Linked DNA regions of Tribolium castaneum. The protein of the gene in region 2 purifies or fractionates together with the protein of the main gene of each other region. This does not show direct contact. Links are inferred from orthologs where the notes say so. Each region holds a gene or a part of one and is shown on either strand. Other genes may lie near its edges.

Region 1 (3,217 bases), on a different chromosome or scaffold from region 2:
AAATTTTTAAACGATGAAATGTAATTTTTAGCAAAAATCAATATTGCCAACTTAATTTCTCAAAGTTATAGGTCACTTTCATGGCCAGAAATTTATTTGGCATTTTGTAGGTGGTGATGAGCCCATCAGGATTGTGGGTGTGGTGGGGATAGGTCATGTCCCTGGAATAACGAAATTGTGGCCCAAAGACCAGAAACCCTTCATTGCTGAAATTTTACAAGTGCCACCACCTTCACTCACCTCCAAAGTGGTGAGACTCACTTTTCGGGTTTCGTTGCTAACTTTTGGCGGTTATCTGGTGTACAAGTTTGTGCCAGTTCCTAAAATGCTCAAAGAGAATTCGCATTTGGTTATTCAGCACATTTTAACCAGTGTTAAGGGTAACTCTAATTTTAAGTATGCCTTACATTGAATTTTAAAATTGTTTTAAGCTTAAAATTGTTGCTTTTCTAATTCTAAGTCAAACATTCCGTTGTATATTTTTTTAATGGTAGGTTAAGGTGTAGTTCAAAGAGATTGTTATTTAAATCATAATATATTTCTAAAATATCATATAACTTGGAAGACTTGATGGCAGGATGATTTAAGTACTTGGGTTTGTTTGTTATTCACTGCCAAATTATTTGACATCACCGGCACATCGAAAGCCTAAATTTCCGGCCGAACTGTCTTTGGTATTGAAAGATCTTGCAGCGCAGCGATACCTCCAACAGTAAGACTCATGACAGAGGTAGGAGCCCCCTTTCTTCACTTTGGCGTCCTGAAATGTTATTCTTAATTATATGTTTTGTTATTGGTTGAAATAAAGTTTTGGCATAATATTAGCAGTCAGTAGTTAATTAGTGAAAAACAAGTTATACACTCCTTGATAAAAGTATACCAGACCAATTATAGTTTTTCCTTTAAAGTGTTTCATCTTACGTTTCGAAAAATTACAGTGTTTAGTTGAAAAACTACTACTTTTTAACTAGCACAATTTGCTGCGCTCACTCGTTTTGGCAAACATTATGCTCTTAAACAAAATCGATAACTTCATAACTAATTTCGTAAATAACTATTCAAATGTTCCATCATATTAATATCTTTAATGACTAAAAACAAATCTACGCGCCGATTTTTTCCAAGAAGTTAAAAAATAACCAGTGTTCACAAACCTACATTATTTTTCGGATATTCTTACTTTGGTGCTATTTTAAATGATACAGAAAGTTGCAAAAATGTTTGAATTTTAATTTGTTAGCTTCTATTGGGTTTAACTAATTTTTAAATGAGAATAGCTCGTATTTTTTTTCATAGCAATCAATTAGTCTTTTCTTTTTAAATTAGTGCCAGATATCACCAAATAAATTATCTTATTAAAATAATATAATAATATTTATTAACGTCTATCAGTAGGAGTCGTTTATGGCTCATTAAAGTACAGAGTTGTTTAATGAATTTAGGGATTTTTAGTTTTCAAAAGATTCATCGATAATGCGTGGATCGATCGATTTAATCATCATTTCTTCTTTATTTATTATCTATTATTTATTACTGTTACCAACTGACACAAAATTCCCTAAACGCCAATTTTTTTTTTTTAATTAAAATAAGAAAAGTATAAAAAATTGCATAAAATATTCGTTTTATAAAGGTTTTGGCGCACTCATCCTAACTTGGGATTCATGCTCCAAATCAACCCTTATAAAACTTTTTTTTAATATACTATTACGATACAGAAATCACGAAAACATTAAGTCCAAAATTTGTATTTTAAATTAAATGTCTCAATTTATGCAAAAATGAGAATTTCGTCTTATTTAATTCAATCTGTTTAAAAAAAAAAAATAATAAAGTAAACTTTTGCCTATTTTGCTAAGTTTTTTTATCTAAGCAGAAAATTCTAAAATTGTATATGGAAAACAAACAAAATTAGTAAATGGAATTTCACAATTTTTAAACAAAAATCAAACGCTTACAGCGTCCGTAAGATAGAGACTTGTTAGGCTAGGTTAAGTTAGGTCAAGTCAAGTCGAGTCAGGTTAGGGAAAAAAGCTATGAACCACTGGTGTAGGCAAAGCAATTTTTTATATGGCGCACAATAAGAAATTAAATTTCTTCAAAAATTATTATCTTGAAAAGCAAACACCATAATATGTAAAATCATCAACTTTTTCTACCAGTATTCATACTTTTACATATTTTTTGCATATAACAATACTATGCATCATTTGTCTAAAAATAACATAGAAAATAACAAAAACATTTGTAGTGTGTTATGTACCTAATGCAAAATTACTTTTTTGTTGAAAAATACTGATTTTTCGTATGCTGCTTATTATTCTACACAGTTAAATTTTAAGTTTCCTTTTGTTTTCAGTTATTTTGTTCACGAATTAAGTGATTTTAGAGTATACAGAAACGTCAAAGAAATGTAAGTAGGTAAACGGGAATAATTTACAAATTTTCATGGAAGGTTTAAGAGCTCTTGTACCTAACAGTACGCACTAAACACACCCCGCTAAAAGGTATATTTCCTGTGGATATTTAAGAAAGTGTATTAATCTATGGCTGAAATACGGATTTTTATAGATTAGTATACAAAACGACATACAAATATTAAAACGCTCCTCGATAGTTCCGTTAATGTCGCCAGAGAGTGCAGATATCTTTACAAGAAAAATGTATTTACAATGTTTTGAAAAATGTGGGACAAGGCGCATTTTTTTAAAAGTAGTTACTGAAAAATGAATTACAAAATGACATTTTTTTGATGCGATTTTGTGTCTCGTTTTGTCTCCTAGTGTATAGTTCCCCGTAGGCAGGAAATACTATACCGGGTGATCAATTTCAGTCCCAAACACCACACATATTTTCATTTCTAAGGTAACGTTGCCATTGGGAGTATTAAGCAAATTATAATCAAGAATAATCATATTTATTATACATAGTGTTCCGGATTGAAACTAATCACCCGGTAAAAACGAACATACAGGGTCATTCAACCAATTATCCTGAGTCCATTCCCAGACGTTCCCTGCCATATGGTGAAGTCCGAATTTGTTGGCGGGAAAACTATCAACTGGGGCCGTGGATAAGTAGCCATCCTCTGCAGTGTTTGTTAAGGGAAAGTCTCCTTGCCAGATATTGGCCCAGTGTTCGCCTTTAGGTGTAAGTTTGTTGCCCCAGGGGTACAGTTTTTGTCTCAAGCCGGCCCTGCACGCCATCTCCCATTCGG
Region 2 (4,441 bases):
ACTGCTAAAATGAATTACAACAGTGATGTGGCATTTCCGGCAGTCAAATAATTTGCTGATATTTTGTGTGTTGATTTTGTCCGCGGGTTTTATGTTACAATTTAAGGTATTGTATAACAACCACCAGAAGCATTTACGGATACAAGAGATCCACGAGAGAGTGAGTCAATCAGCGGCCTTGGACGCAATTAAACCCAATTTTGCAGATGACTGAAATCGCAGAAACTATGCACAGTGTCGAAGCGGTCGCGAACACCACTTCGGTTCTAGTTAGCAAGTTGGAAAAGACTGTGAAACGGAGGACGCTTAGGGGCAGATTAAAAAAAATTAAAACGAGGTGATGGTAATTTCCGTAAAATATTCTAACGCAAGCGCTTGGTCAATTCACACTTATCGCTTTTGTTTTTAATTTGTGTTATCACTGGAGAAGTCTAGCCGTTGTTGACTAATTTATTAAAATGTTGCGTGTGATTAGTTAATTAGGGAATAAGTCGCCATATGCAAACGTAGATGTTTTATATACGCATTTGTTTAGAATATGTGACAATAAATATATTTTTGTGTTTACGTGTTGTACAGGGGCATGCATTGGGGGTTGTGTGCATAGTCACCCTTATTTTCCAAGACTGAATGTGGGGAGCAAATCCACGGGTCACTTGTGGCGTTTTGCCACTCGGAAAGTCGTTTCTCCAGCTCCTGCATGATGTCTTTGTAGTCGCTCTTTCCAGCCAGATTGTTTAGTTCCACGGGGTCGTGTTTCAAGTCGTACAGTTCCCACTCGGGCCGGTTGTAGTACTGTCTCAGGGTCTTAAACCAGTACAGATTTTCCTTGTTTCTGGTGCGGTTCAAAATATCCTTCAATGATAAATTCAAGGCGAGTTTTGCGATAACATTACTCACTTGGAATGTTGGCGATAAGTAAAAGTCCTGATCGATCGGGAACGGCGCTTGGTAATTCAAATTATGAATCAATTTATAGCGGTGGGTTCTGATCATCCTCATTGGGTAATACATCGTTACTTCATGGAGATTATGACTCGCGAAAATCGCCTCGTTTGTTGTATTTTCCGGCTCTAGAATTGCCATTGAACCATAAAAATGTTACGACACAAGACATCAAAACCTTTAACTAGAAGTGGCAATAAGCTTTTCCCGGTCAGTTTTTTACTATTGATTTCGTTGCTCTCCTCTGTGATATTGAACCAATCAAGGACAGTTGGTACAATATCTAGGAGGCTGGTCAAGGAGTAGGTGACCTGATTGTGCCTTTCCTTGTGCAAAGGCGAGGAAATAAACATGGGTTCGGCAATCCCCGAATCGTATAAATTCGTGCGTCCGTTCGGAAATGGGGTCCCATTATCCGAACTGTAAATCACAAGAGTATCATCAGCGTGACCTGATTTTTCCAATTCTTCCAAAATTAAACCAACGCCTTGATCCAATCTCGAGATTGTCGTGTATTGATTGGCCACTTCACGCCTCGCCGCCTCCGTATCGGGAATATAATAAGGTAGCTCAAGTTCGTCCCATTGGTAATAAATTGGGCGCCAGTCCGGGATCAGACCCATGCCCACGTCCCCGTTGCCGAACCGTTGGCAGAACTGGCCGTATTCCGGGTGCGTGTGCCCGCAACGATGGGGGTCATGGAACGCAACATAGAGGAAAAATGGCCTAAAATTCCAGGTTTTGACTGGCCATGGGCACGTGCTAATTACTTGTCCGTGGAATTGTTGAGGAACTCTCTGGCCAGCAATTTAATCAAAGTGATATTTCGCCCAACTTGCAGGATTGAATTATTCTCCTCAGTCTGCTCGTAATCAAAACGATACGTATTTTTGGGGCCCACGTGTTTTTTACCGATAATTCCGGTGCGAATGCCGTTTTCGCGCAAAATGTTCGGCAAACTTTTCACGTTTGTGAAGGAATCGAAGTGGTTTTCGGCCTGGTGGAGGCCGTACATGCCATTCTGATGGGCCGGCATGCCGGTAAGTAGGGCCGAGCGGCTGTAAGAATGTGACTGCTCGAATTTGCCAAGTTTTGGGATAGGAGACGAAACGAGATACAAATTTTTATGATTATCTCTTACTATTGGGAAAATATCTGCCTGTATTGTTTTGTTAACAACTGCGCTCTCTGGCGACATTAATGGAACTATCGAAGACGGGAACATTTATTTGTATGACGTTTCGTATCCTAACTCATAGTTATCCGTAGTTTTGGGTTTACCTGGGCGAACAACTACTGACCGAGGTGTAGGCATTATTGAAAATTAGGCTGTTTTTGGCCAAGGCGTCCAAATTGGGCGTTTGGCAGATTTTGTTCCTGTAAGCCCCCATTTCGAAGCCGCCATCGTCGGCTGAAATGACGAACCGCCACTGGTTTTACAAATTCTTTATTGCAAAGTAGCCATTTTTATAATTATCGTGATTAACGTAACGCTAGTCTCAGCATTCTGTTTGTTCTAATTTTTTTAATAAATAAAAAAATCGAAAAAAAATGCGCCGCCCCTGTGTTTCTAACCTACATTTGACATGTCAACAAAAAATGTAAAAATCGCCGGATTTACGAATATTTATTACATTTCAAAAAAAGACAATGGTGCAAAAACGCCCGATTTAATAAATAGCAAAGTTTAATAAAGCAATTGTGTTTTTTTCCCCGGTGTGTCGGCCCCTAACCTGACTTTTTGACATTTGGCAAAATTGCATCATTTAAAACCCAGTGACGTGTCCATCTTCATTAAAAAGGTAAACAATCCCAAAACTCACCCAAAATCAGCAGCACATTTAATTGTTTGCCATTTTCAGCCCCAACTCGTGCCCAAATCACTAGTAGAACAAGCAAACCGGTTTTCCCCATCTTTCCACACAACGGAGCCAAATTCAAACATGCCACCAAAGAAAATTTTGTGTTTATTCGACATGGACGGCACCCTCACAAAACCCCGCCAAGCAATCGACCCCGAATTCGACGAATTCATCCAAACCAAAATCAAGCCCTTGTGCACCCTCGGCCTGGTCGGGGGCTCCGATTTCAAGAAAATCGCCGAGCAAATGAACGGCGAGGACGTCATTTTCAGATTCGACTACGTCTTCCCGGAAAATGGGCTCGTGCAGTATAAATTCGGGAAGGAGGTTGGGCGGCAAAGCATCCAGAAGTTCATGGGTGAGGATAAGCTTCAAATGTTCATAAACTACGTCCTGAGCTACTTATCGACGGTGGTCCTGCCGGTCAAACGGGGCAACTTTGTCGAGTTCAGGGCCGGGATGCTCAATATCTCGCCAGTCGGGCGCTCCTGCTCCCAGGAAGAGCGCGAAAGTTTCGAGAAATATGATAAGGAGTTTTGCATAAGACAGACGATGATTGAGGCCCTCAGGAAGAAATTCCCCGATATAGGGCTCACGTACGCAATCGGGGGGCAAATCAGCTTCGACGCCTTCCCTAAAGGGTGGGACAAGACGTACTGCCTGCGCCACGTCCAAAGCGAGGGCTTTGACGAGATTCACTTCTTTGGGGACAAGACGGACGAAGGGGGCAACGACTACGAAATCTACAATGACCCGAGAGTCATAGGCCACAAGGTCTCAGACCCGGATGATACAAGAAAGCAACTTGAAAAATTATTTGATCTTTAATTTTTTTTTTAATCATTCGCCAATATAATTCGGTTTTCGCTTCTCCTTGAACGCCTGTAGTCCCTCTATCCTGTCCTTGGTCGGTATCAGCTGAGCATAGCACGCCTCCTCGATCGCTAATCCCGAACTTAAGTCGACTTGAACCCCCTTATTGATGGCCTTTTTGGCCATTTGGACCGCCACAGGTCCATTCGGTAATATTTCGCGCGCCAACTCCAGTGATTTCAAATAAGCTGCGTCCTGATTGGCGTTTTGTGACACCACGTGGTTGACAACACCCAATCGGTGGGCGGTACCACCGTCGATTGTTCGTGCCGTGTATATCAATTCCTTGGCGATTGAGGGGTTGATAAGCCGGGGGAGTCTTTGGGTGCCTCCGGCCCCCGGTATTATGGCCAATTTGCCCTCAACTAGCCCCATTTTACAGTCACTTGAAGCGACCCGAATGTCACAAGCCAGGGATATCTCCAGACCTCCCCCCAAAGCAACGCCATCCAAGGCGGCTATGACGGGGATAGGGAGGTTGTGGAACTGGTCCATGAGACTTCGCAGGTTTGAGACGAATTTACCGACTTCCGCTTGAGGCATCGTTGCGCGTTCTTTAAGATCCGCTCCTGGAAAAAATATTAAAGGGGGGCTTCCAGCTTTGGAGTTATACCGGCACAGAAGACCCCCGGGACGTGGCTTCGCACTATTAATACGCGGGCCGAGGGGTCGAATGTGATTTTCTGGAGAGATTTCTGTAATTCGGTTACTAGGTTGGCACTTAAGGCGTTCTTTTGTTTGGGGCGGTTAAAACCGAAAAC

Evidence for each region. The genes of interacting proteins can lie anywhere in the genome.
Region 1: the proteins of Sgsh (region 2) and formylglycine-generating enzyme purify together in Homo sapiens (co-immunoprecipitation; 3 studies listed by BioGRID and IntAct, with this or other methods). This does not show direct contact. The link is inferred for Tribolium castaneum from reciprocal best matches to the Homo sapiens genes SGSH and SUMF1.

The regions. Positions count from the first base shown.
Region 1 is NC_087398.1:15,119,974-15,123,190, forward strand, and holds the end of formylglycine-generating enzyme, read right to left. Parts: coding exon 2,973-3,217; intron 825-2,972; exon of another isoform or gene 761-824; coding exon 620-760; 3' UTR 517-619; downstream 1-516. Other genes in the region: traB domain-containing protein, read left to right, coding at 111-412.
Region 2 is NC_087399.1:3,387,496-3,391,936, forward strand, and holds Sgsh (N-sulphoglucosamine sulphohydrolase), read right to left. Parts: upstream 2,889-4,441; 5' UTR 2,860-2,888; coding exon 2,769-2,859; intron 2,357-2,768; coding exon 2,227-2,356; intron 2,004-2,226; coding exon 1,716-2,003; intron 1,672-1,715; coding exon 1,124-1,671; intron 1,074-1,123; coding exon 901-1,073; intron 856-900; coding exon 565-855; 3' UTR 500-564; downstream 1-499. Other genes in the region: Pmm2 (phosphomannomutase), read left to right, coding at 2,889-3,635; methylglutaconyl-CoA hydratase, mitochondrial, read right to left, coding at 3,648-4,249, 4,294-4,441. UniProt on the Homo sapiens protein: Catalyzes a step in lysosomal heparan sulfate degradation.